2 separate regions of the Mus musculus genome follow, and region 1 is reported to be linked to region 2. Evidence: microRNA targets listed by miRTarBase, many of them from high-throughput screens and not tested one by one. Region 2 holds a microRNA gene; the other region holds the end of a gene's coding sequence.

Region 1 (15,714 bases), not on the chromosome of region 2:
CACCAAACACAGATACTATTGTGGATGCCAAGAAGTACTTGCTGACAGGAGTCTGATACAGAGCCTGACAAATACAGAGATCTATGCTCACAGCCAACCATTGAACTGAGCACAGGGTCCCAAATGGAGGAGTTAGAGAAAGGACTGAAGGGGTTGAAGGGGTTAGCAACCCCATAGGAAAAACAACAATATCAACCAACCAGAACCCCCAGAGCTCCCAGAGACTAAACCACCAACCAAAGAGTACACATGGAGCGACTCATGGCTCCAGCTGCATATGTAGCAGAGGATGGCCTTGTGGGACATCAATGGGAGGAGAGGCCTTTGGTCTTGTGAAGGCTTGATGCCCCAGTGTAGGGGAATGCCAGGACCAGGAAGTGGGAGTGGGTGGTTGGGTGTGGGAGCACCCTCATAGAACAGTGGGAGGGAGAATGGGATGGGGGGTTCTGGAGGGGAAACCGAGAAAGGGTAAAACATTTTAAATGTAAATAAAGAACATATCCAATAAAAATAAGCATTAAATCTAAACATATTTCTCAGAATATATGCAAATAATCATGAAAAGAAATCTTAAAAATATTCAATATCACTAATCATAAAGAAAGTGCAAATCACAGTAGAATATCATCTCACCAAGATATGAAGGACAATTATCAAAAAGACAAAAGAGATACTTACCTAGCACAAGATATGCCATGATCATGAAAGCGGATTACCCATAGCAAGGTTTATACATTGCACTCAAAATGTGCTGACTCCCTGGGATTTCTCCTACTGCTGGGAAACTTTATTGCATATTTTATGGTAATGAGGAGACTGATTTTGTGCTCTTCTAATCAGCAGAGGGGAACAAGATTAAAGATAACAAGTGTGTGTGTGTGTGTGTGTGTGTGTGTGTGTGTGTGTAGAGCAAAGGGAACCCTTGCACACCACTGGTTATAAATAAATTAGGACAGCTATTAGGGAAAACAGTGTGAATGTTCTTTTAAAAATGTGTTGGAAATGGAGAGACGTATATGACACTTTGTTATTTGCACAAAAAGTATAGGATTAAATTTTGTGTCTTTTAAAAAATAAATAGCAATAAATGCACATGCATATGCCTGAATAATAATATTTGCATGTTTGAGCATGGAAACCCGGAGAAGACAATTATTCGACTTTTGTTTACTTTTATGTATTTTTCTAGATTTAATAAAAATTAATTAGATTTGCAATTGTAACGGCAGAGAGATTTTTATATTAATTTTTATAATAATTTTTATATTAATAGGAGAGTGGTCGGTATAATTAAAAACAGAACACATTACTCTCCTGTCCGTTTTTGTGTGCGCTCCTCTAACAGACAGTGTGGTGAAACTACTGCCGCGTCTACGCAGAGAATTACAGTAACTCGGTTTTCAGTGATGAGTCAGAGTGCGTGGTGCTGATGCTGCTGCCATTTCATCACCTTTGCGAGCGCAGCATCCATCCCTTCGTTCCCCCAGCGCCTGGGCCTACCTTGCTTCAGGCTACCAGGCCAGTGATGTTCTCGCGGCCGATCTAGAAACGGGTTGATCTGTGCTAAGGCCTTGGTGGGGCGCCCCCTCCCGCCTCCCCAGGCCCGGGCCGAAGAGTCCTGCCAGGCCACTGCCATGGAGGCCATCTGGCTGTACCAGTTCCGGCTCATTGTCATCGGCGATTCCACGGTGGGCAAGTCCTGCCTGATCCGCCGCTTCACCGAGGGCCGCTTTGCTCAGGTTTCAGATCCCACCGTGGGGGTAGATTTTTTCTCCCGTTTGGTGGAGATCGAGCCAGGAAAACGCATCAAGCTCCAGATCTGGGATACAGCGGGTCAAGAGAGGTTCAGGTGGGAGTGCACCACGGGCCCGCGCGAGCAGTGGGAGGGTCTTTGGGGCTTATTCAGTCCCTGGGGAAAGAGGACTTCCCGGTTCTTTTCGCGATGCTGCCAGGGTGACAAACAAGGGTCTGTCTGGGGCTTTTCAAGCCCACTTTGAGCTACCTTTGAGTTCGATGCAGGAAAGAACCGCCCAGGCAGGAGAAGGCCATTCATTATCACATTATTTGAACCACAACTCCATCAATCTGCTTTTGGTAGCTAATAAATAACTTGAAATTGATCACTGTATAATTCATCAAAATCAGACCCTATGATTCATAGTTTAAAAAAATCCAAGTCATTTTAACATAACTGAAAGCTATAGGTAGGTAGATGTATATTGACTTCTTTCTATATATCCGTTTATATTTGTGGGGAAGAAAAGACAGAGGGAGAGACAGAGACACAGAGAGAATGAATATGCCCTAATATAAAGGAAATGGAGACTGATTAATTGACTGTCTTGTAACCATCATACAGTCAGTTGCCAGAGGGTGGAATCATTTCTGAAGAAATAGTATGAGGTTACTCACATAAGAGAATTCCATATAAAGTAAATAGTCAGAGCCCCTGACTTCTTGGAACTTCAGTACTAGCATGGTCAGAAGAAACAGAAACAGAGGCAACACACAAAAGAGTGTTTTGTTGTTTGTATTTATATGCCACTCCCTACTGTACCACTGGGCACATAATCATTCAGCATGTTTATTTTTCTTTCACAATCCTTTGCTCTTCCTTTGTAGTATTTATTTGTAATTTCATGTATGAATACAGAGGAGAGACCGGAGAAGATGAAGCCCAAGTAAAGATAGGAAATGCCCAGAATAGGGAAAAGCATAAATAAAACATAAGTGACAGAAAACAAACTAATAAAAACTTTGTAGAGAACAGTTTGAACTAAAGTAAGGTAGAACAGGAGGAACCAGAGCAAAAGGACTCAGTTCATAAACACTGACTCATTCTCCACTGAACATTAGTTGGACGCAGAAGATACTAGTTAGGTAATTAAGTTGCCTCTAACTTCCCACTTGTACAAAGCTCTGGCAAATACTTTATATAAGTTCTCATGAATAAAGAAAGGTCTCTTATATATGTTTGCTGGGATCTCTGTATGAATGGCTTGTTCATATTTACTATTTATTATGTATTATATAGTATTGATTTGTAGGACTACTTTACAGATTATCCCAACACCAACAGTGGTGGCATAGCCCTATAATTCCAGCCCTCTGAAGGCTGAGGCAAGAGAACGATAAGTAGTTGAAGGCCAGCCTGGACTTCTGTCTAACAAAAAGAACATTAACCCTTTTATGTCATGTATGTTGTGAGCTATTTCCCCAATATGTCATTTGTATTTTTATGTTTTTTTTTAATTTAGGGTCAGTGTCTAGTTCTATATAACTTTACACTATGATTAAAATACTTTGATATCTTCTGTGCTAAATACAAACCACTAATGCATAAATATATTCTAGAGCTTGGATACACTGCTCATTGATTTCTCAAATCAACATTTTCACAAATTGGAGCATTTTCCAATACAATTATCATTCCCCATTAATCTTCAAACATAAAGAAATTATGAATATCCATTTCCCAGGGCTAATATCCCTGGTTCTAGAGACCTGAACTTATTTGTAAGGCCTACCCATATCATCTTCTAGCTTGGGCTGTAATTCCCTAGACATTTCCCCCACATTAACACTGAGCCATTTTCCCATACATTTTCAGCTATTATTTATCATACCCTCTCAAGAAGACAGAAATCCTAAAAATAGATTTCAAAAATTGCAGTAGTCTAAAGCAAGTGATTATATAGGCAAGTTATTCTACATCCTTTCATGAGATTCTACATTCTTAAGCAAAACACATTATATGTTTGTAATAAGGTTCGTCAACTCAAGAAACTAAAATATGTGATGTTTCTTCTGTTTAAGAAGTACAATAAATGTACAAGTAGGCTAAAATAACCTAATTACATGATTCAAAATAATAATATAACTTCATTGGAACACTTTCACTATTTTGGCAGATTCTCCCAGCTAGTGCCTCCTCAGTCAGCCTCTTTGAATTTTGTCAGTGAATACAGATGGAAGGATTTTCTCCAGAACAATATTAAATATGTTGTTTTATTTTATGTGTATAGAGTTTTGCCTACATATATGTTTGTGAACCACATGAGTGGCTGGTGACTATGCAGGTCAAGAGAGGATGTCAGATCCTCAGAAGCTGGAATTAAAGACAGTTGTGAGCTGCCATGTGTGTGCTGGAAATTAAGTTCAGGTCCTCTGGGAGAGCAAATAGCGCTCTTAACTACTGCACCATTTCTCTAGCCCTGCCTCAGAACATTTTACCATCCCCATTTTCCCATTCTCATTCCCAAGTGGCTTAGGAAATACAAAGCAAGATTGTCTTTTTCCTCACAGAAGAGATTGATTGATGACCCCTGCTAGAAAAAAATAGCAATAACGGGAACAAACAAACACAAAACAGGTTAATGATAAATAGAAAAATGAAATATTTTGCAAGATATTTTCAGGGGTTATCAATTATAATAAATTCAAGGGAAAATACCTGAAAGTTCACGAGCATTCTTAACATTTTACTCAGTTGAAAACTTGTCATTATTGTTATAGACTGCATTTGTATTTACTAAAGGACTGTCAGGAATCAGGAACACTAGAATACACTGAGTTCGTTGGAGTGAAGGAGTTTGAGCACGAACTTTATTCTTTACTTCTTTCTTGTGTTTTAGATCCATCACTCGCGCCTACTACAGGAATTCAGTAGGTGGTCTTCTCTTATTTGACATTACCAACCGCAGGTCCTTCCAGAATGTCCATGAGTGGTTAGAAGAGACCAAAGTACACGTTCAGCCCTACCAAATTGTATTTGTTCTGGTGGGTCACAAGTGTGACCTGGATACACAGAGGCAAGTGACTCGCCACGAGGCCGAGAAACTGGCTGCTGCATACGGCATGAAGTACATTGAGACGTCAGCCCGAGATGCCATTAATGTGGAGAAAGCCTTCACAGACCTGACAAGAGACATATATGAGCTGGTTAAAAGGGGGGAGATTACAATCCAGGAGGGTTGGGAAGGGGTGAAGAGTGGATTTGTACCAAATGTTGTTCATTCTTCAGAAGAGGTTATCAAATCAGAGAGGAGATGTTTGTGCTAGTTAACCCTTCCATTTTCAAAACATACTCTCCCACTTGAACTTAAAAGTTATCAAAATAAATAGAATCCTTATGTGACTGAAGAGAACTCAACGTTTGGATAATAAATGAGCCTTCTTCCTAGGCCTGGATCTCTGACAGGCTCATGTGTGGGTAGATAGGGAGCCTGGGTGCTGTGACTGAGGGACTAAATTGCTGACAGGGGCTGGACCAGACCTTGTTTTGTGGGCCAGGCTCAGCAATGGCTGCTCTGTGTGCCCTTTGTGGACCACATATTAAGGGTCTGGGTATTTGAAAGTTAGGTTCCAGGAAAACACCTACAGACAGATAAACAGTTCCTTGGTATTACAACTTTTCAGACATGGTGACCATAAAGAAACATATAGAAAGAAATCAAGTATCAATTGGGGACAATTAAGATAACTGAAAAAAAAAAGAGTATGATATCAACTTATTCAATGATAATACCGTGCCAGATGTGTGCTGGGTTTTATACAAACACATCAAGCCACTTCTAACAGTTCAACTGTAAAATGAAAAGCCCATATGAATCAACTATTTGGTAAAGCTCTTTCAAGGTCTAGCATTCTAGTAAAACTGCTGTGAATATGAAAAGGGAAGTCATTCACATATTGTTGTTATCACATTTGAGAAAAGTGTACACTGGCATGATAAAGTTGCCAACTATGTGAAAGAAATTCTTCCATGTAAAATGATCATGTAAGGAGAAAAAGGAAACACTGTAACTCAAAGGCCACATTATTTCCCCTCTAATCATACCTGGACTTTCACTGCATCAGGGAACCATAATCCCGAAGTAAGTATACTGCTTGCTTCTTCAGATACCTGACAACGACAACACAGAGATTGTCAACAAACAAAAACCCTAAGTCAAGCCCTTGGTCATTGGTTCTATTCTGAGTATTGGCTCAACACGTAGTCTTGGAATCCTTAAAAATTATTCATATTAATTTATTTCACTCATTTGATCACCATAATAGGACTGTGAGATTTTTGATCCCATTTTACATAATAAGAAAGCAAGAACCAAGCCTACCTGATACCTAGCTTTTTTCACTGGATCATTATTCATATGAATAAGTGATTAATTTATTAACCTTTGGAGACATGTGACTATAAATAAATATTCTCTACATGATAGAATATGTTTTCCTTGTTTTACAGCTCAGCTATAATCTTGCAGGAATCTAGAAATGAATAAAAGGTAAAGGCCACTCAGGTATTATTGACAAGAGGGCATTAAATAAGGGATTAACTGCACAACTGAAAACACATTAAAACTGTATGGGTTATAAATGTTCTTCTCACAAACACTATGAATATTTTATTAAAAGGAACCAAATACAACAATGGGGAGTGGGTTGGGGATAAAGTACTCACCTCACAATGACCTTGACTACCTGTCTGCTATGTACCTACATTGGGCTCCTGTCTACCCGAGAGAGTCAGCTCTTAATTCTCAGGTGAACAGACAGCTAACCACATCAGCAAATTAGAATGGCTGAGATGAAAAATTCATTATCTTCTTAAAAAGAAGTGATGCTTTAAATTTCTTTTTGGATTGTAGCCAGTTCAGCTAGGCAAAAGCCATACTTTTGACAGTAAGAAAACTATTCTGATTAGAGTCAAGTTTCTCATATATACATTGTGGTAGAAAGAATGGCAAATTATATTTGCAATATCCTGTTCGAGTTCAGAATGAATATGTGTGAATCTGGGAATTTGTTTCAGCTAAAATAACCCAAATAATAAAAATTATGAAAGGTTGTTTAGCCACCTTTGCTCCAACTTGTATAAACAAGTCATTTTGGACCAATTCACATTATCAATTGCAGATAAATGATCATTCATTCTATAATCATTTCACGTATTTTAAATTGCCAGATTCTTGGTTGTAGAAGGCAAATACAACCTTTTTTGTGGGTTAACACAAAATTTCAACAATGATACACATGTCTAGATTGTTCTAAAACCCAGGATTATCCAGTGGATAAATAAGAGTTGATTAGACTCTTGTTGACTCAAGGGGGCAGGGGTAGAAATAAAACAGGTCTACAGTTTTCTTGACGAAAATACATTATATACTTTGCCATTCCTGGCTTTTAAAAGTGGGTTTCAAAGTACCCAGCATAAATGCAGCAGAGGTGGCTGAACTTGACTTCTTCCATAAGTTTTAAAAAAATCTCAAAAATCCTTTTAGTAGAATTCAGTGCTGTTGTCACTGCAATAAGTGGGTTTTAGACAATAAATGTGAAAAAATCAGGTGTTCATAAAATACTAAGGATAATGCATTAGAAGCTATTTTACTACATAGGTAAAGAAAAGATTAACTGTAACAACGATCACAACTGCATGTTGGATTAGATTGTCTTATATTCCAGAACAAAATGTACTGTATACTTTGCCTCAATTTGTTGTACACTGTAATGAAATGTGAAAAATTCTTTATTTAGCTGTATGTGAATGAAAATATGCTTGTATTTAGTAAAATGGTTGATCATGTGACTGAGAGATTCCATATGTGTGTTGTAGCTATTTCTAGAATGTGTCCCTTCATTGTTGCAAACAAGGATACCAGTAAGATACCAATCCCATACTGTAGCGTATACCAATTGGATATGACATACCTTGCATAAACATAGTCAAAAGTATCTGAAAGCCAAAAAGAGGACACAATTTTAAAGATATATGGTTTTCATGTTGAAAATCACAGAAATATTATTATTCATTTTCAGCCCAAACCACTATGTAAAAAGTTGGTTGTGTGAAGCCTAAAACTTAAGCATTGTAATTTTTAATCAAGATTTATAATTCTGTCACCAGGCAAGTAGTTAATTATAACTACTGTCTTCACTGGAATGTCTTTTCCAAGCTAAATTCCCTTGGGTGTTTTGTTTTGTTTGTTGGTTGGTTGGTTGTTGTGTTTTTCAAATCTGACTGTGGCATACTATCATGTGAGGACATGGGACCCAGACTGGAATGCAGTCATCAAATACACTTTCCAAGGTGGATAGTGCACATCTGAAAGAAATATAAAAGAAATTCTGAATCTAGGCATACACAGACTAATCTCAGTACTGCCTTATCATTTTTGCAGGCTTAAGTAAATTAAGGGGAGGAGTAAGAAAAGAAGAAAGAGAAATTAACTATGAAGCTGCATTTCATAGAGCTTTCCACACCTTTAAATTTTATCTAGGCTTAAACTTATCGTTTCTTTATTTATATTAATTCCCTTGGTGACCCCAGCCATTCGTTGGTTTTAAAAATTATCTGTGAGCCAGTAAGCCCTGGACTGATATGTTGAGCTCATCTATTACCCATGGACTCCAGACTTTCATAACCAACTACTTACCTGTCATTTCAATTTGATTGTCCATTAGAATGACAAATTTAACATGTCCTGAATTTAATCAAGCTCCTAAAGGTAATGTTAACTTTCTCCAAAGCATTCCTGCCTAAAAGCTTAAAGTCATTCTTCTTTCCTTCTCTTTCTTACTCCACATTTGATCTATCTGAAAATTATGTTGGCAGAAGAATAAGACAAGAATTTAACAGCTTTTTAACACCTTTAATGTGTTAATGCTGCTGTTGTCCACTGTCACTTATCACCTGAATTATTGTGATAAAACTGGTCTCCCTACAGTCATTCTTGCTACCCCTTCCCTACCAGTCTATTATCCATACAGCCCAAGGGAGTCTGATAATACATGAGTTAAAACAGTCACCTACTCATAATATTCCTGTGCTTATCAATTTCATTCAGCTTAAAACACAAAATCCTTCCAATAGTCTACAGAAGAACCCTAAAATGAATTCCATCCTGCCACCTCTGCGACCTCATTTCTTACATCTGATTTCTTGTTCATCTCAGTTTCCTTTCTTGTTCTTTATTTTAATTTTATATATACGTGTGTGTGTGTGTGTGTGTGTGTGTGTGTGTGTGTGTGTGTGTGTGTGTGTGTGTTCTGTTCCTCAGAAGCCAAATGTCTACAGACAACATGCACCTAGAATTACAGGCAGTTAAGACCCACAAGATAGGGGGACTGAATTCAGGCCCTCTACAAGAGCAGTATGTTTTCTTAATCTCTCCAGCTCTTCCTTTTTTGTTCTTCAAACATGCCAAGAGTTTTCCCACCTCAGGGCTTTTGTTAATGCTCTACCCTTGCTCCTAATTCTTTTCTGAGATAGCTTTATGGATTGCTTTTCAAATCCATCAAGTTATAGGGTCAGAAGCTTCCAAAATCTTTGAATAGCTAACAGATACTAGGGAACACATTCCTCCAAACATCACTGCTGATAGACAGACCAAGGCCCTGTTCTTTAACCTTGCCTGAGGAACAACAAAGATTCTGGGATGCCTAAAAGGGGGAAAAAAAACTAGAGAACTGGTTCTCAACCTGTGGTCGAAAACCATTTGGGGGTTGAATGATTCACAGGGTTGCATATCAGATATCCTACATACCACATATTTACATTACAGTTCATAACAATAGTAAAATTTCAGTTATGAAGTAGCAATGAAAATAATTTTATGGTTGGGGGGGGTGTCACCAAAACATAAAGAACTGTATTAAAAGGTCAGGGGCATTAGGAAGGTTGAGAACCACTGGCATAAAAGGAGATCATGGAAATCCTGGAGATATATTTCACAGAAAAGGAGTAGGTGGTAATGTCATAATGCAGCAGTGGGTTTAGGTAAACAATGAAATAAATTGTAGTCATAGGATTTGTTGGTAGAACGGCTTCTGCATTCACTAAGCTTCTCCGGAAGTTGTGTGGAAAGACACAATACTGTTCCTCTACTCTTCAAAATCTCTCCTTACCAGACAATCCAATCCACTCCCATAATTTCAACTACTCTCTGCTTTGCAAAGTAATTCAGGCCATCTTTTAAGCATCAAACCAATGTAGTTAATTTGCTTAAGACACACAGATATAAATTCCTCAAACTCAGAACTATTTTTCTCCATCATCATTGCTATCACCATTGTCCAAGCTATTATTGACTCTGAACTACTTCAATTATCTTACCCTTCTCCCTACTTCTTATTCACATATCCATGACACATTCCCAAAATGTGTAGAGTTATCATACCATAACAGATCAAGTCATTCTTCACCCAAATTAGAATTTACCCATGCTTTCTCATCACATTTGAACAAAATTGAAAAAAATCTTACATTTCTTGGCATAACTACAAGGCTTTCCATCATCTGATCTGTCTGGCTGTGAGTTATATAAAAATAATAATCATACTTTCTTCACCAATGACCTTGACCCCTCCTGATCACACACACATGATTCTATTCTGTAGCCTCTGGAATTCTCTGATTACAAGATCTGTTTGTCACTGTCTCCCATAAGGCCTGTTTAAACTTTTGTTACAACTTTAGGCAATCAACCATGGCCCACTACTAATTTATCAATATTCTCTTCCTTTTTCTTGGCTCTTGTAGTCAACTGCATTTAATTACCAATTCCTAAAGAAAGTGTTTTTGTTTATTTCATTACAGATCTTCTCTTCCAAGACAAATATAAGTTCAAATTCTGACTCTACCAGAAATTAAGTGCAACTCAATATCTCTGAGTCCCCTTTCACACATATATTTCACACATCATATACTGAATGATGGTATTTAGCTCATAAAGTTGTGGTAAGGATGAGATGAGACAATCCATATAAAAAAGCACTTAGTCATAATAGTCATAAGATGATAGAAATTATATTTGCACATAAATGAATCTCTTGTACAAATGGTATCATGTAACACATTGTTCTGTTAATTTTTTCTTATACAGTAAATTTTCTATAACTGCATGAGGGCAGATTCTGTGTCTTTGCTAATTACTAACTACAGTCAATCAGTGCATGTACATATTTATTGAATGTGATCAAAAGAAGAGTTAGTTAGAACATGGCAGAGCAGAGACTCAAGAAAACTGGGTCCTTGACAATATAATTGAATCATAGATTTCCCTACACTGGAGACAACCTTTATTAAGATTCTTTGAAATATTAGATAATAATCTCACTTTGATTTATGCATTTCTTCACCTCTCCTACATGAAAGTCTCCTAAAAGGTACAATAACATTCCACTGTATGAACATGTGATATTTTATTTAATCAAGTCTTATAAAATATATGCATATATATCTAATTTATGTACCTAATTAAGTCAAGTTAAAAATCTTACAAATGAAATTTATGAATCAAATATCATGCTTATTTAAATTTTTATATGTCATTAAATTGTTCTATAGGAATGTTTTACTGAAAATCCATGAACAATGTATGGTAATGTCTACATTCAGTATTATATAATTTTTAACTCTTTGCAGGCTGGAGAGGTTAATAATATATCAACATTTTAGTTTTTAGTGAGAGATGGGTGACATAGGGTCTCTCTCTGTAGCCTAAGCTGCTCTGAAACTCACTATATAATATAGACTGACCTCAAACTCATGGAAATGCTCCTGCTTCACCACAATATTTTTAAATGTGTATATCTTTAATTATTGACTTTCTATGCTTGGAGTTAAAAGTAGTCATAACTAATGAAGAGTGCTGAGCTTTTTATCATTCATCAGTAAGACAAATTTGTACATGGAAATTTCTTCTGTGCTCTTCATATATGGCAAAAAAAAATCCTGACTTTTTTTCTAAATTCTGGTATTTGGTAATACAGAAGTCTCTAATATTTAGCAGTAAGATCTATTATCTGTAAGAAACTGGAAACAACTTTTCCCTCAGAATTGATAAACCAAGTAGCTAGAAAATACGCTGGGAGGAAAAATTATTTTCCATTCAATAAATGTTTTTATCTTTTAATTTTAAAGTTTTTGTAAAGAGTTTTGCTTTTTAAATTTGTGTGTGTGTGTGTGTGTGTGTGCACTCACATGCAATGTACTTATATTTATGTACATTTATGCTAGTACCTATGGAAGCCAAGAGAGGGTATTAGATCCCCTGGAGCTGGAGCTATATGCTGCTGTGAATCACCTGGTATGAGACGGGGGAACTGAACTCCAGTCCTCTGAAAGCAAGTGATCTTAACCAGTGAACCATCTCTCTAGCCATCCCCTCCCTTTGATTTTTGTAATTTATGTAAATTTCTTATACTGTATGTTATATTGATATTTTGTAGCAATAATGTTAGGTGCAGACAGGCCTTCTCTGCCTAAAACCTACAAAACATCTGTATCTTTATAATAGATTTCAGGTTCCATCAGGAATCATCATATCTAGTCATTGATCTATTTTTCTACTCCTAGACTAATATTACATTGTTCTAGTTTGGTTAATTCAATCAGACTTTAAAAATTACCTTTTATCTCAAATTTGTCTTTGCTACTTTTATACAGGATTTGAGAATTTGAGAATAAATGTGTCAACTTTTCCCTGAGTTAGGGTTGGAATTTCTTTCTTTCTTTCTTTTTGAAGGATTTATTTATTTATTTTATGTATATGAGCATACTGTCTCTATCTTCAGACACACCAGAAGAGGATGTCAGCTTCCCATTACAGATGGTTGTGAGCCACTATGTGGTTGTTATCCACTGAGCCATTTCTCAAGCCCAGGGGTTGGGATTTTTATTGAAACTAATTTCACTCAGGAACAATGATCCATGGAAGACACACCCATCTTTACAAATTTTGCATAATAAATCATCTTAATGCTTTGTGCTCATTAGTAACTTTTTATTGTTTTCTCATGTTTAGCCATATTCTGTTTATTGCAAGAATTTTTTATTTACTTTGAAGTAGGTTGCATACATTAATTATACTGGCTCCAACTATTCTAACTGATCATTTCTAACATGTAGGAAATTTGTGAATTTGTTAAAATTTAATAGCTTATAAGAAAATCCTTGCTAAACTCTATTATTCAACTAATTTTTAATGGGTTTCTTCTACTTGTTAGACAGAAATTATAATCCATATGTTTTTTCTTTCTCTAATATTTTCCTCTCAGTTTTTTTCTTATTTACACTGACTAAAATTGAATTTGATAACTGTTGAGGTTTGATCTTGCTATGTATTGTAATGCTAAGTACAAGCCCCCAAGACCTGGATTCTGCATGTTGACTTATGACCCTGCCCCCCAGTTATTTCTGATTGGTAAATAAAGATGCCAACAACCAATAGCTGGGCAGAGGAGTCATAGGTGGGGTTTAGGATTTCTGGGCTTGGGTTCAGGGGAGAACAAGGAGGAGGAAGGGGTAGGAGAGTAGGAAGGAGAAGCTTCCATGGGTTAGGAATCAAGAGAAGATGGCCCTGAAGGCTGGCCAGTTGGAGTTAAGAGCAGTCCAGATGAAACATAAGTAATAACTTGAGGTTATCTATAGGAAAGTAGATTCTAATCACATAGAGAGTAGTATCTGCCCAGCTGTTTAAGGCTAATTGTAAATATAAAGGCTGAGTGTAGTGTTTTTATCTGTGAACTAAATGGTAAAAGGCAGGGTAGAAACCCCAGGTTGGTATTAACTAATACTATATAAATTTTACCATATTGCTAGTCTACTAAGTATTTGGAGGAAGACTTTATGCTTAAGTTTTCAATTGTTTTTCTGGTATTCACTGAGAGAATCAAATGACATTCAACCATTAACCTGTCAACACAATTATTTCAGTAAAGCTGCTCATGTTAAAACATATTTCTTCACATTATTATGCTAAACTCTTCTTAAATCACAATGTATTTTTAAAATACTGCTTGATTTTATCCACTAATATTTAGGATATTTACACTTGTATTCATGTTTGTGACTGGTTCATAACAATATTTCCAGATTGTAATCCATGGTGATTAAAAGAAATCTGGTGGTAGGAGGCATTACAAGTAAGTATATTTGACAAGCCACAGATTAAACAGAGTGAATAGTATTTTGTAAGACTATACTATTATATATCGAGGTTCCCTATCTGGAGATAATTTTATTGAGCATCTCCTCAACCTCTGTAGCAAAAAAGCTACATTTTATATAATATCAATTTTCAATAATAAGAGGATGTTTTGTTTTTCACATATATTCATTCTCTTTCCTGGAGTAGGACTACAGGTCTCTTATGAGATCAGCTTAGCTGTTCCCCAACTAGCTGGTTTTTTAGCAGCAACATGGATTCTGAAGTTAAAGAGCAAGGCCACTTTTGAGTTGGAGTGGGCAAGTGGCCAATAGGATCGGGAATGACTACCAGAGCATTATGTAGCCTATAAATGTATATATTCTCATGAATAAATTTATATATATATATGTATATGTATATATATATATATATATATATATATATATATATATATATATACTTTGAAAATCATCTACTTCAAGTAAATTTTCAAATATGGTACTTTGTGTAATTAAAAAATGTATGAGTAGATAGAAATTTTTCATATTGTTCATTTGTATTTTTATTATTCAACATTGTTAAAGGTTTACTTATTTTTAACTAATATTATCAAAGAACCAGATCTTGGTCATAACACTTTTGCTTTTTCTGAATTATAATCTATTTTTATGTTATTTATATAAACTCATTATTTGTTTTTTCATGTAAATAAGTATTTCTGTGGTTCTTTATATACCAAGCATTTTTTATTATACTCCATACACTTAAATATAATGTATTCATATCATGCAATTATGATTATTTAAATCTTCTAGGTCCTTTGTGGGTTATGATTACATATCAGTTCGGCTTTCAAAGCCACTTAGCTGTTCCCTGTGCTGGCCCACAATCAGGTACCCAATCTGGGAACTGGATTGTGGTCTATCTTTTGGTTTAGTTCTCAGAATCTAGAAATAGAGTTAAGTTTTTATAGTGCAGATAGGAGCCTGGGAATTTAAATCAACACTATGGGATCACTTTCCAAATTTTTTCCATTTTTCCCTTTCCTGGTAGTCTTTATTTTCCTGGGGCTCCCTTTTGGCAGCTCCGGAAACTAATCCAGAATTTTAGTTTTCAGGCTGTGCCATGACATGTCAGATTGTCATTTGGTAGAAAGAAACCAGAAGAAAAAGTGGCATGCTCACAGCAAGGTTCCAAGGTACTATGAATTCTCTTGTTTTTCCTGATGCTTCACTGGTATCTTCTTTTCAGTGTCTCAAATACTTCTTCCATATATTGTCTATATTCAGTGAAGGAGACGCAATGAAGTTTCCTCCAGCATGACTACACATTAAAATCTACTCAGTTTCTGACTGAGGTTAGCAACATAAATTAATGAATAAGGATAGTATTTTTTAGTATTGAACAATTTATATTATTCTGAAATTTTTATCTTTGTAGATCTAAATGTAACATATATGAAAGAGAATTTTCACTATTGACAATTGTATGTACATTGAACACCAAAATTGCAAGTTGTTTTGTTTTGAATAAAAAATATTTTACTTAAATTTTCTAAAATATTTGATAAATGTTCTATAGAGAGATCATCTTGTGTACTGTATAGATGCTTCGATGCCTCACCTGTCAATTAAAAAGCCTATAACCTATGGCTTAGGCAGGAAATAGAGGTGAGACACTGGGAGGAAAAAGAATTTTAGTCAAAGTAGAGCCTAGCTATATAGCCAAAGTATTTGTAAATATAATGTGAGTCTGAATCATATTTCTGGGAGCATAGAGCTGGAAG
Region 2 (15,714 bases):
ACCTTCTTTTCCTCAGAATGCTGGTCGTTGGCTTCTTCATTCTCTCATTTGCTCTGTCTTTACTTTCAAACATAAGACCTTGCGTGATATTTGCTTTTTTATATAATACATATCCAAATCAGCTGCAGAAGATATTTAAAATGTATGGTTTTTTTTAAAGATCAGATCATTTGTTCATTTTTAGATAAAAATATAATTACATTTATCTCAATTTTTTTTCCAATCATTGGAACGTTAATTTTACTCTTTCTCAAAACTGAAATAGCAAACAGTTTATGTAAGGTGTTGATAATTACCTACATTATTATACTGCTGTGACAGATGTTGGGGGAGAAAAGCCTGAAATGCCTACAGCTGTGCACCCCATGACTTCTAGTGCAGGCTCAACAGAAGGCTAGCAGATGTTCTGAGCTGTCACTTTGCCTAGATGGTTTTAAAGTCGGAGGGCCTGTTTTAGTGGAGTCTGTTTGAGTTTCACAGATATCCTCCCAATTCCTGTCTGTGACAGTTAATATTGGTGATGTTGATCAGTCAATCTGTTTTCCTTCTCCTTTAATAAATAGATATAAACAGACATCAGTTTGCACATGGATTATTAAGCAGTCTGTGCGTACCATTCTGTAAAAATCTCTTCTTTGAACACACATTTGGGTTATCTGTGCACGTGAAAGCTTGGGAAGAATCAGAAATTTTGCTAAAATCGTATGCTCCTTGGGAGCAAAACATTTGACAATTCTCTGGAGGAAAAGTTGCATTCTTTTTCCTAATAGAAGAATTTTGCTCCACTTATTTCTCATTCAACAACTCTGCTCAGGACAACTATTAATTTTGCAGTCTCTTAGAGTAACGCAAGAGGAAGATAAAGGACACTCAGACTCAGCGCACATCCGGCCAAGCCTGACCCAAATGCTTCCTCTTCGCAGACAGACTTTCATATCCTTCTTGCAGAGTCCCAACCCTGAGCAGAGGACATCGGCACCTCAGTGGCTCTTCATTTTAATGGGTCAGAGTTCTGTAGTACACTTGTCTAACAGTGTAAACCTTCTGCTAACAATCGGGTGTCTGGCCCACCCCGTTTCCTCTCCTCTCTGCATAGAAATAGAACTCTAAGTAGGACGTCTCTCTGGGTTTGTCTCTGTATTAGTCCCTACACTTAATTATGAGGAGGAGAAAGATGCCTCCTCCTCCTTTGTTATAAACTAAGCTTTCAGTAATCCCAAACAAAAGAGTCAGTTCTAGGAGATACAGGATTTGCTCCCAGGATTATGGTCTCATAGATAATACGATGCAGTCAGCAGACACTGAAGCTTTATTTTAATTCAAATATGCCAGTAAGCCCACCCCTGGCAAGTCGGCGGTGAGAGGAGCTAGCCACAGTTGCCACGTTGGCAAGCAAAGTGTAAAAAAGCTTATACTTTGTTCACCTTGTAAAACATACTATACATATGTCTAGTTTTATGTGAGATACAAAATAAACTCTCCAGAGTACCTATTAAAATAACAATGTTTATTTTATATTTCACTGACTTAAAATGAGGGCTACTGACCTCGAAGGGCAGTTTTGATTTAAGTTATCACCTATGGAGTGCAGGGGTAAGCTCAGAGAAAGGAAACACTCTGCTGCCTTTCTGGGAAAAGACAAATGTTAACATCCTTTAGTTTGCAGTCCTTAATGAGGTTAATTAACAACCATATGCCCTGCTATTTCTGTATTTCCCTCCCAGACCTTTGGCTTCTAAGGCAGGAGCTTTAAGACTGGGGCTTCTCAGAGTTCAAAAGCCCTAAGTCTGAGACCCAGCACTCCATAATCTGGGTATGGTGACTCTAGCCTGCCACCCCAACCCTAGAGAGATAGAGGCAGGGCAATCAGAAGTTCAGAGGCATCTTCAGCTCAATAAAGAGTTTGAGGCCAGCCGGGCGGTGGTGGCGCACGCCTTTAATCCCAGCACTTGGGAGGCAGAGGCCAACAGATTTCTGAGTTCGAGGCCAGCCTGGTCTACAGAGTGAGTTCCAGGACAGCCAGGGCTATACAGAGAAACCCTGTCTTGAGAAGAAAAAAAAAAAAAAAAAAAAAAAAGAAAGAGTTTGAGGCCAGGAAGGGATATTTGAGAAGCTGTCTAAAAGGAAGGAAGGAAGGAAGGAAGGAAGGAAGGAAGGAAGGAAGGAAGGAGGAAGGAGGAAAGAAAAAGAAAACATCACCTGTTTGCCCAAGTCTGAAGTAGTTCAGGAGGACACACTGGTACACCAGAGATCTTAAGACGGTGCAGAATTATTGGAGTATCTCAGCTCTAACCCTGAATTCTAGAGGCAGAGGCAGAAGATTGAGAACTTGAGGCCAACCTGGGCTGCATAGTGAGATGCTGTGTCCAAAACACAGCAAAGTGGTCGGGGTGAGAGATGGGGACAAAGGGGAGTCTGTTTTACAGGAAAACAGAAAGACGAGAACCGGAGTGTGCAGCCAGTTTCCTCCTGTGCTCACAGAGGTAGGTCAGCATCAAGGGTATCTGCTCGAGTCCATTTGGCCTCAGTCTACCGAATTCTAAAGAACAGGCAGCGTTTCGGAGTCAAGTGAGAAAGCCCGGTCTCTTGCCCGGCTCAGAAGCACAGGCCTTTCACTCAGCATCTCCTTTTATGCTGTAAGGTAAAGGGAACTAGGGTAATCCCAACTTCACATGCTGTTGCAAGAAATTGAGACAGTAGCTGCTGTCCTGATTCAAGGTTAGTTCCTCTCATGTTCATCTTCAGTGAATAGATTGCTGTTTATTCTCTAAAGAGGAAGGGAGTTTTAGGGTGTACTGTGGGTAGAGAGCAATAGAAACCCTCCCCAGGTGTTCCTTTGGGTCATTAATTCCTCCTACACAACCCCCCCCCCGAAAAATACACTTCTTTTCTGTCAGAGTCTGCCACAATAATACTTTCTAAGAACATATTTACCGTTCATGGCTGTGGCTGAAGAGGTGGCTGCATCGGTAGAATGCTCGCCCTGTAGGCACAAAACCCTGAGTTTAATAATGCTAAGGCTGGCTAGCCTGAGTGTGGTAGTGCACATCTGTAATTCCAGCCCTTGGGAGAGGGAGACAGGAGGATTTGAGTTTATGGTCATTCTCAACTTTATACAAGTTCAAGGCTAGCCTTGACTGTAGGAGATGATATCTCAACAACCACAAAGTACCAGTGAGTCAGTTTCCCCAAGCCAATGCCTGCTCTTGTGCCTGGAGAGAGGGGAATGGAAAGAAGCCAGTGCCATTCATTTCTGCGCCCTGGGTCTGTGATTGCGATTGCGATTGTGATTGTGATTGATTGTGATTGTGGGGTTAAATTCTAAGCACTTGGGCTAAGGAAGCTCAAGCTTTGTACTTGGATCTGGTGATGTGAGAGGTGCATGATGCAGTCAGCTGTGGGGGTGCACACCTAGAACCCCAGCTCCTCAGGCAGGAGAAGCAGAAGGTTGCATTTGTCCTGTTGCTCTTATTCTTCCTTTAAAATTTTACTTCTTTTTCACTTTGCATCTGAGTTTTTGCCTGTATGTATGTATGTATGTGCACCATATGTATGCCTGTTACCCATGGAGGCCAGAAGAAGGTGTTGGATCCCTGGGAACTGTAGTTTTGACTTCCATCTGCCATGTGGGTGCTGGAAATTGAGCCCAGGTGCTCTGAATAGCAGCCGATGCTCTTAGCCACTGAGCACTTTCTCCAGCCACGAAGGGGCTCAGAAACTTAAGGCTGTTACAAAGGAGCTTTAAGCAAACCAAGGATATGTGGGACTCGGTTAGAAGACATGCCTTTTGAAAATGGCTTCAGTAGCATGAGTCTTGAGGTCTAACAGGTAACACTAGTGTTTTATTGATGCAGAAAGACTCACCTGACACTGCACAGCAGCCTCTTGCTTTCCCATAGTTAGTACCAATAACACTCTGGTAGCACAACCTGCAGTCCCTACTTTCCCTCCAACCCACCATGCCTCTGAGTAACATGCAGGTGAATTAATACATAAGTGAATTAAGAAACTTAGAGCCAGGCAGTGGTGGCACACGCCTTTAGTCCCAGCACTCAGGAGGCAGAGGCAGGCAGATTTCTGAGTTCGAGGCCAGCCTGGTCTACAAAGAGAGTTCCAGGACAGCCAGGGCTATACAGAGAAACCCTGTCTCGAAAAACAAAAACAAAAACAAAAACAAAAAAAACAAAAAAAGAAACAGAAACAAGTTCTTAAAATGTGTAGCATGTTTTAAATGTTTAATGTTTTACTTAATATTCTTTATTCATAGTTTTCTTTTTTTTAAAGACATTTTTTATTATATGTAAGTACACTGTAGCCATCTTTAGACACTCCAGAAGAGGACATCAGATCTCATTATGGATGGTTGTGAGCCACCATGTGGTTGCTGGGATTTGAACTCAGGACCTTCAGAAGAGCAGTCAGCACTCTTACCCACTGAGCCATTTCACCAGCTCCATAGTTTTCTTTTGAGACAGTAGCCCAGGCTGGCCTCAGATTCTGACAATCTCAGTACTTCAGGTCCCAGGTCCTGAGATTATAGACAAGGACCACTAAGATTATAGACTATACACAGTGTAGCGTATTCACCTGCTATACTGAGGCAACAAAGGAAAAATCCTTAAGGGAACAAAAGAACATCCAAAAAAGTGGAAAATAAGGAAGAGATCAATATGTTCATTGATTGGTGTGTCTGACTGTCAATCATATTGGTGTATAGAATGAGTTCAGCTAATTTATTTTTTTTCATGTTTTATTTTATACTCCTTTCTTTATTTACAATTCTAGTGATTGGACCTAAGGTCTTGCACACACTAGGCAAGCTCTCTTCCACAAGCTATAGCCACAGCCTTTTTGTCATATTTGCTTTTGTTTCTTTGTTTTTGTTTTTGTTTTTTAAATACAGCCCACCCCCAACCCCCATGTTCCTGGCTGGAACTTTCTGTATAGATAGGATGGTCTTGAGTAAGAGGCAGTGATTGATCCTGCCTCACTCTCCCTCTCCTGAGGGGTGAAATTATAAACGTGAGGCACTAGACCTGGCTAAAAGAAATATTTTCAAATACACAGATAAAGCATATGGCTGTTTGTATAATCTCAGTTCCTATATGAAAAGTATCCCTGAAGGAGTCCACAGTGCAGTCTCCCAACAGCCCTGGCTTTGGCTGAACCCTCCACTTAGTTAGAAAGCTCACCTTTCTTAGATTCAGGTTGTCTGTTGATACCAGGAAACTCAGAGTGTGCCTCGCTGAGCAAATGGCCTTCTTACAGCCCACAGCCCACTCCTGGTTCCAAGTCAGATTTGCTGACCTACCTCTCTGAGGTAACCAACAAGACTTTTCATCCCAGGTCCTCGTCCCTCCCTGGTGACTGTTACCCAGTCCTCCCTGGAGAATCCCAGGGCTCCTCTCCCCAAACCAGTCTGGCCACACTGTGTGCTCAGAAGAAGTATTCTAAAGTCATTTCAAAGTCTGAGCCTGTAGTCAGATACGCACACGCGCACACGCACACGCACACGCACACGCACGCTCGCGCGCGCACACACACATCATTAGCCTCCCTCCAGCCACCTATGAGTGAGCAGTAGCAGGAGGCCATGTCATTTGGGTTTAGGTCCAAGAGAACATGGACCGGTAGTGCCGGGCATGTTAACAAAGCTGACCTCCCAAAGTGGCTAGTCCCTTCCCGTCTTGGCTTGCCAGGAGCCCTTCCTCAGGCTGGGGGTAAGTCCAGCACAGTAGCCAGCAGGTCACCTTCGCCATGTCCTTCCTGCGCAGGAGATACAGAGATTCCTGGAACCCGAGGGAAGCTGATGGCTTCACAGGCCAGCTGTCTATAAGCTGGCTGCCATCTGTGCTGCCTCCTAGATCACAAGGTTCTCCACCTTTCTCTCCTCCTTCCCTCCCTCTTTCCTTCCTCATACTGAACGGAACGATTCCTGCAGAGGGCTAGCCACTCCCATTCTGAAGAAACCTCACCCATTCTCCCAATGGAAGACCTGTGCCACTTAGCCTAGGTCCCAGAGAGCCCATCTAAACACCCGGAGAGCAGCTACTGCTTCCCAAGCCTCTAGCAACCTTTTCGTGGCTCTTTGCTCCAAGCGTGGGGACAGTGGTTGGGGCGGAAGACTAGTCAGCTTTGTCCCTCTCCTTCCTCCCTCCTCTCCTCAAACCCTTCCTTCTTCCTTTCTACCATTCCCTCCTTCCTCTTCCTGTTCCTCCTTCCTGTTCCACCCTTCTTGCTCCCCCCCTCCCTTCTTTCCTCCCTCCCTCTCACTCTCCCTTCCTTCCTCCCTCCCGTCTTCCTTCCTTCCTTCCTTCCTTTCCTCCCTCCCTCCCCCCTCCTCCTCTCCCTTCCTTCCTTCCTCCCTCCCCCTTCCTTCCTTCCTTCCTTCCTTCTTTCCTTCCTTTCCTTCCTCCCCCCTCCCTCCCTCTCTCCCTTCCTTCCTCCCTCCCCTCTTCCTTCCTTCCTTCCTTCATTCCTTCCTTCTTTCCTTCATAAGTAGTTCCCCACTGACTGCAGATTTCTTATCTGCAATGGCTTTGAGCCATCACTTGCTGGAACATTTTCTCCCTTCCTTAATTAGCTCAGTGTTGGACTTTTTTCTTATTGCGTGCAAAGCCCTTGCATTAACCCTTTTTAGATTTTTGGTGACTTACATTCTTCTCTCTCTCTCTCTCTCTCTCTCTCTCTCTCTCTCTCTCTCTCACACACACACACACACACACACACACACACACACACGAACACAAACAAGCATGTGCCACACCTTCTTGATTGCTTCCAGGAGACAAGGGACAACTAATTTCAAACTTCTTAGGGCTGGGATGGTACAGATCTAATCTCAGCTTCCTCAGTGGAGAGGGGTCATCAGCTTGAGTCTTCTTTCAGTCCATGTAAAAAATGGGGAAACTTTGACCACATCCTTGTAAATCTAAATAGTGGAAACATAGGGAGAGAGGTACAATGGTCACTCTGGTCTTTCCAGAATCAGTTGCTATGACAACGTGGGCATTCAAGTCACACTTGCCTTCCTCATCCCCACAGTTCTTGGAAGTGTTCCTACTGATTGTATGGTGCCACACACACTCCCACAGTGCCCCAAATAGAAAATACCCACACATTCCATAGGCAATCATAAAGATCCCTCCCTCCCTGCACACACACTCATACGGGCTCAAGGTCTTTTCTTGTTGGCAGCAATGGGGATTAAGCCTATGACCTCATGCATGCTAGGATTGAGCTTTACAGCACCAAATGGGGCTCACTTTTTTCAACCAGTCTTAAGAAATGCTTAACTTCACCTTTAATCCCAGCACTGGGGAGGCAGAGACAGGAGGATCTCTGAGTTCAAGGTCAGCCTGGTCAACAGAGTTTGCTCCAGGACAACCAGGGCCACTGGGAAACCTTTTACTTTGTACCAAAAATACAGAGAGAGAGAGAGAGAGAGAGAGAGAGAGAGAGAGAGAGAGAGAGAGAGAGAGAGAGAAATGCTTAACTTTTTAAAGTTGTGCCACAATTTTTATTCTTTTCAGACTTCTATTAGGTTGCTTATCTCAACAATTTATACGATAAATAATTTAAGCCAGGCATGATGGTGCACCCTTTAATCTCGGCAGTCTGGAGGCAGAGGCAACGAGGCCAGCCTGGTGTAGTGAGTCCCAGGCCAACTGGGGCTGCCTTGTGAGACCCTGTCTCAAATAATTTAGAAATTAAATTATTAAGAAATAAGCCCTAAAATGATTTTGCTGCCAAGGTTTTGTTACACCACTGACGGCATAAGTCAGGAGAGTATAGTCTGTGGCTCTGGGCTCTTGCAGGCCTAAAGAGCAGCCTGTTCTCCATGTAGCCAGAAAGGTCCGCCCCAAACTCACCACTTCCCTGCAGTGTCTCCTGTCCCATTGTGGGGGCGCTGCTCAAGGTTCATTCGGACCCTCTTTGAGTTTTCATGTTTGGGTTTCCTAAGTGAGAGGAAGCAACTGAAAGAAAGGGAGCAGATGGCTGGAAGAGCCACCCTGAGAGTGGGGCACTGCGGCTGGAGGTGGGCCATCAGTCCGATCCCAGGACCCTTCAAAGTCACAAGTAGCTAGGAATGAATCAAAGAGAGCTAAGAGTAGGATTCACTGGGTGTTAGAGACCTTTAACTGCTTCCTCTCAGCCTAGGCTCCCAGCCTAGGATTTTTAGATTAGCAGAGAGGAAGGCCAGCTTGGAGTGGGGGGGTGGGGGGGGGGAAGTGGAGGGGAGCCATGCCTCCCCTCCTGTGCACATGGAAGAGGCACATCTCAAGATGGAAGAAGCCCTTGTTGAGATACGTGTGGCTGATTCATCTGGTAGCATGGTCCGCCAGCCTGGGAAGAGGAAAGCCACATTTCCTTAAGTTACTGGAACTGGGATTGCCTGTCTCTTCTCCCCCCAACCGTCCTTTCCCCCAGAGGCAGTTGAAACTGCGTTGCCTTCAAGACTGTAGTGAGCCTGAAGATTTGGGGTTTCATAAGGTTACTGCACTACTGATACAATTGCATGCAGATTTTTAAAGCCTTCCAGAGACAGATGTTTGGGCTGATTAAGAATTGAGGAGGAAGCTTGCAGCTGCACCAAGGAATAATGTATTGGACAAATATTTTAATAAAAAATATGAAGAGATCAGCCCGACCTTCCAAGGTCTTCTGCTTAAAAAAAAAAAAATCTTTATCAACCCCCTATTCTATGGGCTTCAATAAACAGAACCCATTACCTCACGGAATCTTTTGTTGGCCCCATACAAGAGAGAACAAAATGGTTATTCAGGGGAACGCTTTGGATTTTATTGTGAGTAGCCTGCACAAAGAACCGTGTTATTGTATTTAAAAGAACCATCTGTAGCAGAAACAATGGCATCAAATTATCTTTGAATACCCACTGAAAAACATAAAGCTTGTTTTTTTTTTTTTATTCTTCTGTACGGTGGGGGATAGAGCAGTGTTAGGATAACTGACTTTTTTGTTGTTCTCTGGGTGCATTCTTCCCGCTCCCCCTCTCTCTCCCCCTCACCCTCTCTCTCTCCTCTCTCTCTCTCCCTCTCCCTCTCTCTCTCTCTTTTAAAAAATCAGCCATTTGGGGTTTTAAGCCATAAACGATTTTTCTTGTTGCAGGGGATTGCAGAGGCAAAGCTAGACTAGGTCTTGGAGGCTGGTGTAAGGTGGTGCGCGGAAGGCAGGACGCTGATGGGAGAGACTGGTCGAAGAAAAGCCTAAATGGATTCTCCGTGCTTTGGATGGAGAAAGAGGGGGGAAGTGCGAGCTCCTTCAACTCGTTCTGTCCGGTGAGGAGTGATCCAGCTTGGGCTGACGAGAGGCTCCGGAGCCTTCACGTTCAGTGCTTTTTACCTGCCAATCAAACTGCTACAAGACAACACCCTGATCTGGCATGGTCGCGTAAGTAGCTTGCAACCCAACTTTGACATTCAAGGCTAGCTACCTCTCCCCACCCCCCAACACACTCACTCACTTTCTTCTCCTCTCATTCTGCCTCTTTGTGTGTGTGTGTGTGTGTGTGTGTGTGTGTGTGTGTGTCTGTGTGACCTTTAAGAGAGCTGGATACCCACCCTGTGTAGCAGTTATTTAACACAGGCCGATTTAAGTCAGAAGGTGTTAAGTTTGGGAATTAAATGCTAATTAAGATCTCTTTAACAAATGCAGAATTGAAGTGACATTTTATTCTCTTTGGGGCAGATAGTTTTGAGGTCTGAACGTAATCAAGGTGCTGTATGTATGTATGAAAGGGGTGTGTGTGTTTCTTTTTAAGCAAAAACTAAACGTCTGTGAGTCCCTATAGGTAAATCCAATAATGAAAATTTTCGGGTTTCCATCTTAAAACTGTTAAATTCTAGTATTGCTCTCCTACTAAGATCCTTGTGCAGACCGCAGTGACTTAGATGCTGAAGGGCTCACTTCGATCCCTGTTGGGACTGGGGGAGTGGGGGTGTGCTGTAATTGGGGTGAAAGAGAGCTTGAATTTAAAAAAGTGAGACAGGGGACATGACTAACCCTCATTCTTTATGCAACTGGAATAGAGGGAGATAGAAACGCAAGGGGGCAGGATCATCAAGAAATATTACCTGAGAGGGAATACAGAGGCTGACGAGGCTGGGATCTGGGAGGGCTGAGAAAAGCTGGCTAGGGCGCTGGGCTACTCTCTGGCGCCCTCTAATGACAAATCGGACGACATTACCTTCGCCATCCCACGCTCAGCAAAGGTTTTTTTTTTTTTTTTGTAGCTGCTGAAGCTGTGGTTTTTGTTGCGCTTGTTTGGTTGGTTGGTTGGTTGATTTGGTTTGTTTTTGCTTTGCTTTGCTTTGCTCTGCACTTAGTAGAAAAGATAGGTATTTTTCCGTCCAGAAACTTAGTACAGGTGATTTTTGGCGCGCGTATTGCCTCCAAGCTGAGGATGGCTGGCTGTTTGATTCGTGGAGCGAGGCCCTGTGGGGATGAGCAGTGTGGGGGGAGGGGGGCTTCTCAGCCTGAGAAGTGTGGTTGGGAAGGCCAGTCTGAGGATCCTGACACCCGCCCATCATCGCAATTCAAGGAGGCTCCTGAGGACCTCTGTCACCTAGGCGTGCAGTGGCCAGGGGCCTCCCTTTCCTTCTTTCTCCTCCTCTTCGTCGTCGTCGTCCTCCTCCTCCTTCTTTTCCCTCTTTTTTTTATTTAAAATTTTGGTAGATAAAGGTTAATCTTGGGCTGAATGATAAAGCTATGATTGACAAGAGAAAAGGTGTTGAGGGCAGGTCGCGCGGTCTTATTTACAGCCCACTGCTTGCTGTAGAGCCTTTGTTAGAACTGCAAAACTAATCTAGTGCTGATCAAAGCACCACGGAGTTAAAGGACGGTAATGACTGCTAATTTCATTCCAGCCTCAGGCAACCCCCGCCGCTGTAATTAAAGACACGCTATTTAAATACAGGTGAAGGGTAGTTGGTTGGTTTTCTTTTTTTTTTAAGTTGGGGTGGGTGTGGGTGGGGTTACAATTTTATTTAGACTTCTTGTACTAACGATGGTTATGTGGCCCAACACCCAGTTTTTCCTATTAGAATTCCTTTTTGTCATTTATACCTGTCTTTGAGGCGCCAACAGAGTAAAATGTGTCCATCACATAACTGCCGCGTTTAAAGAAAGTATGGAAGGAAACAGACCAGTAACTGTTTAGTGAGGGATTTAAATATTTGAGTCTCTTTTTTCCACTTCGAATTAACAGAAGGGCCTTCAACACAGCTAAAATAAAAGTATTAGAAACTTGTGGCAGGGTCAACAGGCCAGCCAGAAGAATAAGCGTCAGCTTTTAAAGTACTTCTAAAGGAACGTATGAACGTATGAAAAATATATTTTTAATTAAATAATTTCCACACACAGTGTAGCTGCGTATTGGCTCAGAAACCTTATAATTTTACAACCCATAGGAGTTTCTTTACAAGAACATCAAAGCTCTACATTTTCATAGTTGGTTAAAACTGATACCCTCTCTTCATACACACACACACACACACACACACACACACACACACCACCCAAAAAGAATTTAGCCTTTAATCTCTTTTTATCCGCAAAGACGAAAGCTCTACGCTCGACCTCGCCAGCGGCTGTCGCGGTCGGGCCGGGAGCAGCTCAGAAGAGAAGCGACTCCGCGGTCTCACGCCAGCGCCCCCTATTGGACGCAGTGGGAGATACACAGCGCCCTCCCGAACCCGCTTCAGCCCTTGCCCTGGGGTTAAAGAAAACTCTTTATTGCCCCCAGAAAAGGAAGTGGGGGTGCGGAAACAAGTTTTTATGCCCCGAAAAGATAACTATACTTCAACAAAAGCCAAAGAGATTACATTCTTTTCCATTTCATTTATTTAAAAAACGGCATTCCTCCTTACACCCCAGTTTCCCCCACCCGCATCCTGGCTTGGTTTGAGGTCTTCTTTTAAAGGCTAAGCGATGGTACTACAGGGAAATAGAAAAAAAAAAATGCTTCTTCCGCTTGTCCGCTTTTCATAAAATAACACTAAAGCGAAGAGAGTGCTTCGCTTAAGCGCCAGCTGCGGTTCAGATACAAGGTTTCCAAATATAAAGTGCTTGGGTGTCTAGTGGATGAAGTAACTCGTTTATATTTGATTATTAATTCCAGAATGTAATTAAAAGTCCTGTCTCTCCTTCAAGTATTTACCTCCCCTCCTCTTCCCTCGCCTCAAACCACTCTTGATCAAACTTTTCCTTCCTGGCAATCGGTTAAATACAGCTATTGTCTACCAAACAGGTGTCTTTTTCTACTTTGATATCAATGTAGAATTTCAGGGAAGATTGGTCTGTGATACATTTTATTGGTTAGGACTCCAAGTTGTCCTGGAAACAGTTTTGATTTGTTTTATTTAATACTTCCAAACCTGTCTGTGTAAGAAAGAGTTGTAACTTCTGTCAGCGAGGGAGGGAAAGTAGCCGCCTTGTGACTGATTCAGAAAGGCCGGCTACAAAAAGAACACAGCCTCTGACTTCCCAACAAAGCGGGAAATGTTGGTTTGTTTAGTTTAAAATTTAAAAAAAATCAACAAATGAACAAAATGGCCATTTCCTACTTCGGGGACATGTTTGCCGTTTTAACTTTTATCAGCAAGGTTAGGGCTTGCCATCAGAAACTAGCTTAACATATCCTAACAGGATAGCATTCTGCACATTTAATGCCATATCCCTGCAAATCTGCTGTTGAGGGTGTGTTTATTCCTGCTCCAGATTAGCGGATCCAAGATGGTTTTTAAAGGAGCTGCTCCGCGCGATGACGTGCCCTCTCATCTGATTCCGGGATCGGATCTCGGACGAGAGGGGATTTTTGAGAAATCTACCCGACAGTCGGTCGAAATGATGGACATTCAGGAGCCGTTGCCTCGGCACCTCCACCCTTTTTCCACGAAGAGGCTAGGCCTGGTTAGGGAAATCCCAACCTGAGACTAGCCTCGCGACCCCCCACGCGCACCGAGGAGCCTGGGGGACGCTTCTTGGGCGTCCTGGGTCCCAGCGCTGCGGTCATCTGTCTCGCGAAGCAGAAGAGTAGAGAAACCAAGAACAGGTCCTGCCTCGGAAGCGGACTGCAAAAGGGTTAGACAACCGCCATTGCGGAGTGTGGAAGAATTGTCGGCGAAGGAGTCTTCTCTCCAGCATACGGACAGAAAACCTAGGCAAAGGTCAGAGGGGACAGGCGTGCAGCCCACTAAGTCCGCAACTAAGCCATGTCGGTGGAGAATGCACAGCCAGGTTGAGCAAAAAGCAGTGAGCCAGGCTTGAGCGCGCCACCCATGCTCGGTTGCATTGTGATTCTGCAGCCGCAGGTGGCTGAGCCCCGGCCCCAATCCCACGCCACAGGACTGCCAGCCGGGAGGAGGCCCCTCCACCTTTGGAGACTAGGAAGGCCGCCAAACAGGGACTGAGATCTCCAAGAAGGCAGAGCCTCCTGGGGCTGGCATCCCGCCGGATCTCCCCAGCCGCGCTGTACCCTTTAGGGGCGTGGCAGGCGCTTTGGGTCTGTAGCCGCGGCATCCAGGCTTGAGCCCTGGCGGGTTGGCTGGGCGCCCTGCTTTGTAAAGTAGTGAGTCTTTCGAGATCCTGTGAGCCAGCCAGCCGGGTGGGCCAACTTAGCTTAGGTCCACTGAGTCCAGGCCAAGTCCTCAACCCTTCCTTCCTTCTTTTCTCCCTCCCTACCTCCCAAGCTTAAAACGCTGAGAAGCAGGGTGTGTGGTTTGGACTTGGGCAGGCTATTTGGAGATGGGGCAGGGACAAGGCTTATTAATAAGATCCAGGTTCGAGGATGAGCTTTCGTTTATTGAGTTTAGTCTTCTTGTTCGGGGTTCTTTCTTTCTTTCTTTTTTTTTTTTTTTTTTTTTTTTTTCTGGAAAACCTTTAGCTCCTAGAATTTAAGTCCCAGACAAAGAGCCAGGGAAAGAACCGGACCAGACTGAAAGGAGCAGAGCTCCAGACAGATCATCATCTCTCAATAAACTGCCAAGCTGTGGCTCCAGAACCAGAGCCCAGCAGCTACGTGGGCTGCTGAAGAGTGCAGATACCACAAGTACAACTTGACACCATTGAGCCCACGGTGCTTGTCAATAAGCTGTGAATTAGGTGTAGAGACTGTCACCATAGATCATAACAGTTTCTGAAGGACTCATTACAGCATAGCGTGTCAGTGATCTCCAAATTAAGGGAGGGGGGGTGAGAGAGGAAGAAGGAGTGGGGGCCGCCAACAAAAATCCAAGAAGGGTGGGAGGAGAGATAAAAGTCAGAGCCCCAGCTAAGAAGAAGGCTTTAAAGATTATCAGGCCAGCGATCTAAGAATTCTGTAAGGATGGGTTTGGAAGCCCAATTCTGAGCCTGGGCTGGGAGGGATGCTGAGGCCAAGCAGAAGTGGGCCTCAGGGAAAGCTGACGTTCTCAGACATTGCCTTTGAGGTTAGAAGAGCTTTTGGAAGCGACCTCCTGATGTCAGCAGAAGGCCTGAAGGATGCCAGCCCGCCCAGAAATGGGAGCATACCGATTCACAGCTCTTTAGCACGAACCACAGTAGCCTTGGCTTCCTTTAGGTCTGGTGGTGATTGTGGGTGACTTTCACCACGCAGGTTTGCTTTGGCTTCTTGTCATGCTACAGGTGGAAAGCTTTCCTCTGTTCCCTGAAAGCAAAAAGAAAAAAAAAAGAAAAGCAGTCCAGTGCAGTGAAGCAAATCTCCCCCTTCCTTCGGCCTGCTCTTAGGCATCCCTAAGACCCTTGCCTTCCGAGGCTTATCACTTTCTGTTGTCCCGTCGCCACCGGGTAGAGGTTCCGGCAAGGAAGCTTTTGAGTGACACAAAGCAGAAAGTTATGTGAGGTCACGGAGGAAAGACAGAGCTCGAGGCTAAGTGTTCTAGCTCCTTGGACTTTGCTGCAGCAGTCACATGTCACCGGCCTGCATTGCTGTCACTTAATATGGGTCAGAAAAACCTCAAGGAAGGGCTTGGGTTTGTTTTTAGATGGCACAATTAAATAAAGTAATTGCAGCTAGAAAAATTTTAAAGAAACATCTTTTTCTTGAAATTACGGGAAACAATCAGGGCCATCGGACAAAAGAGGACATGTGTATGCCTTTGGTAGGATGAATTGCCTAAAATATTTGGCTGTCAAGTAAGTGTATACATAGACTTCCAAGCGTTGATTTGGAGGTGCAAAAGGACTAATGTCTCTCTGGAGTGTTTGGACTCTCTGGTGATCCCCCACCCCCCCACACACACACCCCTGATTTTTAGAATCAGAAGTGCAATTGAAGACCAACAGTAGCTGCTCTTCCTGCCTCCGGTTTGTCTTTAACAGGGGAATTTCTGTCTTTAAAGCAATTAGATCATCTAAAGGGCAAACTACATTTCCCCTGGACAGCAACAGCAGTGGTAGAAACAGAATCTCAGGGTTGATAATTCATGAAATGGAAATGAAAAATAGTGAAGTGTGAATCCTTTGCCCAGAAAAAAAAAATTAATGATCTGGAATATCTGAAAGATCTAAGAATACATGAACCATTGTAAGTCATGTGATTTTTTTTTACATACAGCCCAGAAGACTCAAAAAGGCAGTTTTAATATATATATGTATATATTTAAAAGCAAGAGGGAAATATGTTAAGTTTCTAACTGCCAAACTCTTTTTTTTTTAATGCATTTACTTCATCAGTGAGAGGTGGAATGAATTGAG

Evidence for each region. Region 2 holds the annotated microRNA mmu-miR-1897-3p (UCAACUCGUUCUGUCCGGUGAG, at 9,283-9,304, shown strand). A microRNA usually pairs through its seed, bases 2 to 8, with sites in the 3' UTR of a target mRNA and lowers its output. Matches are read on the target gene's strand: a 7mer-m8 pairs with bases 2 to 8, a 7mer-A1 pairs with bases 2 to 7 and ends in A, and an 8mer does both.
Region 1: miRTarBase lists Rab39b as a target of mmu-miR-1897-3p. Seed matches in the 3' UTR shown: 7mer-A1 at 7,079-7,085.

The regions. Positions count from the first base shown.
Region 1 is chrX:75,563,928-75,579,641 of GRCm38, reverse strand. Rab39b (RAB39B, member RAS oncogene family) reads left to right here and starts at 1,411. Exons shown (of 2, transcript NM_175122.6): 1 at 1,411-1,849; 2 at 4,635-7,597. The coding sequence starts at 1,635. The coding sequence ends at 5,061. Gm39522 (a long non-coding RNA gene) reads left to right here and starts at 14,431. Exons shown (of 3, transcript XR_878129.2): 1 at 14,431-15,126. Gm25421 (a small nuclear RNA gene) reads left to right here and starts at 671; the gene lies at 671-834.
Region 2 is chr3:34,629,229-34,644,942 of GRCm38, forward strand. Mir1897 (microRNA 1897) reads left to right here and starts at 9,236; the gene lies at 9,236-9,314. Sox2ot (SOX2 overlapping transcript (non-protein coding)) reads left to right here. Exons shown (of 5, transcript NR_015580.2): 3 at 9,130-9,411.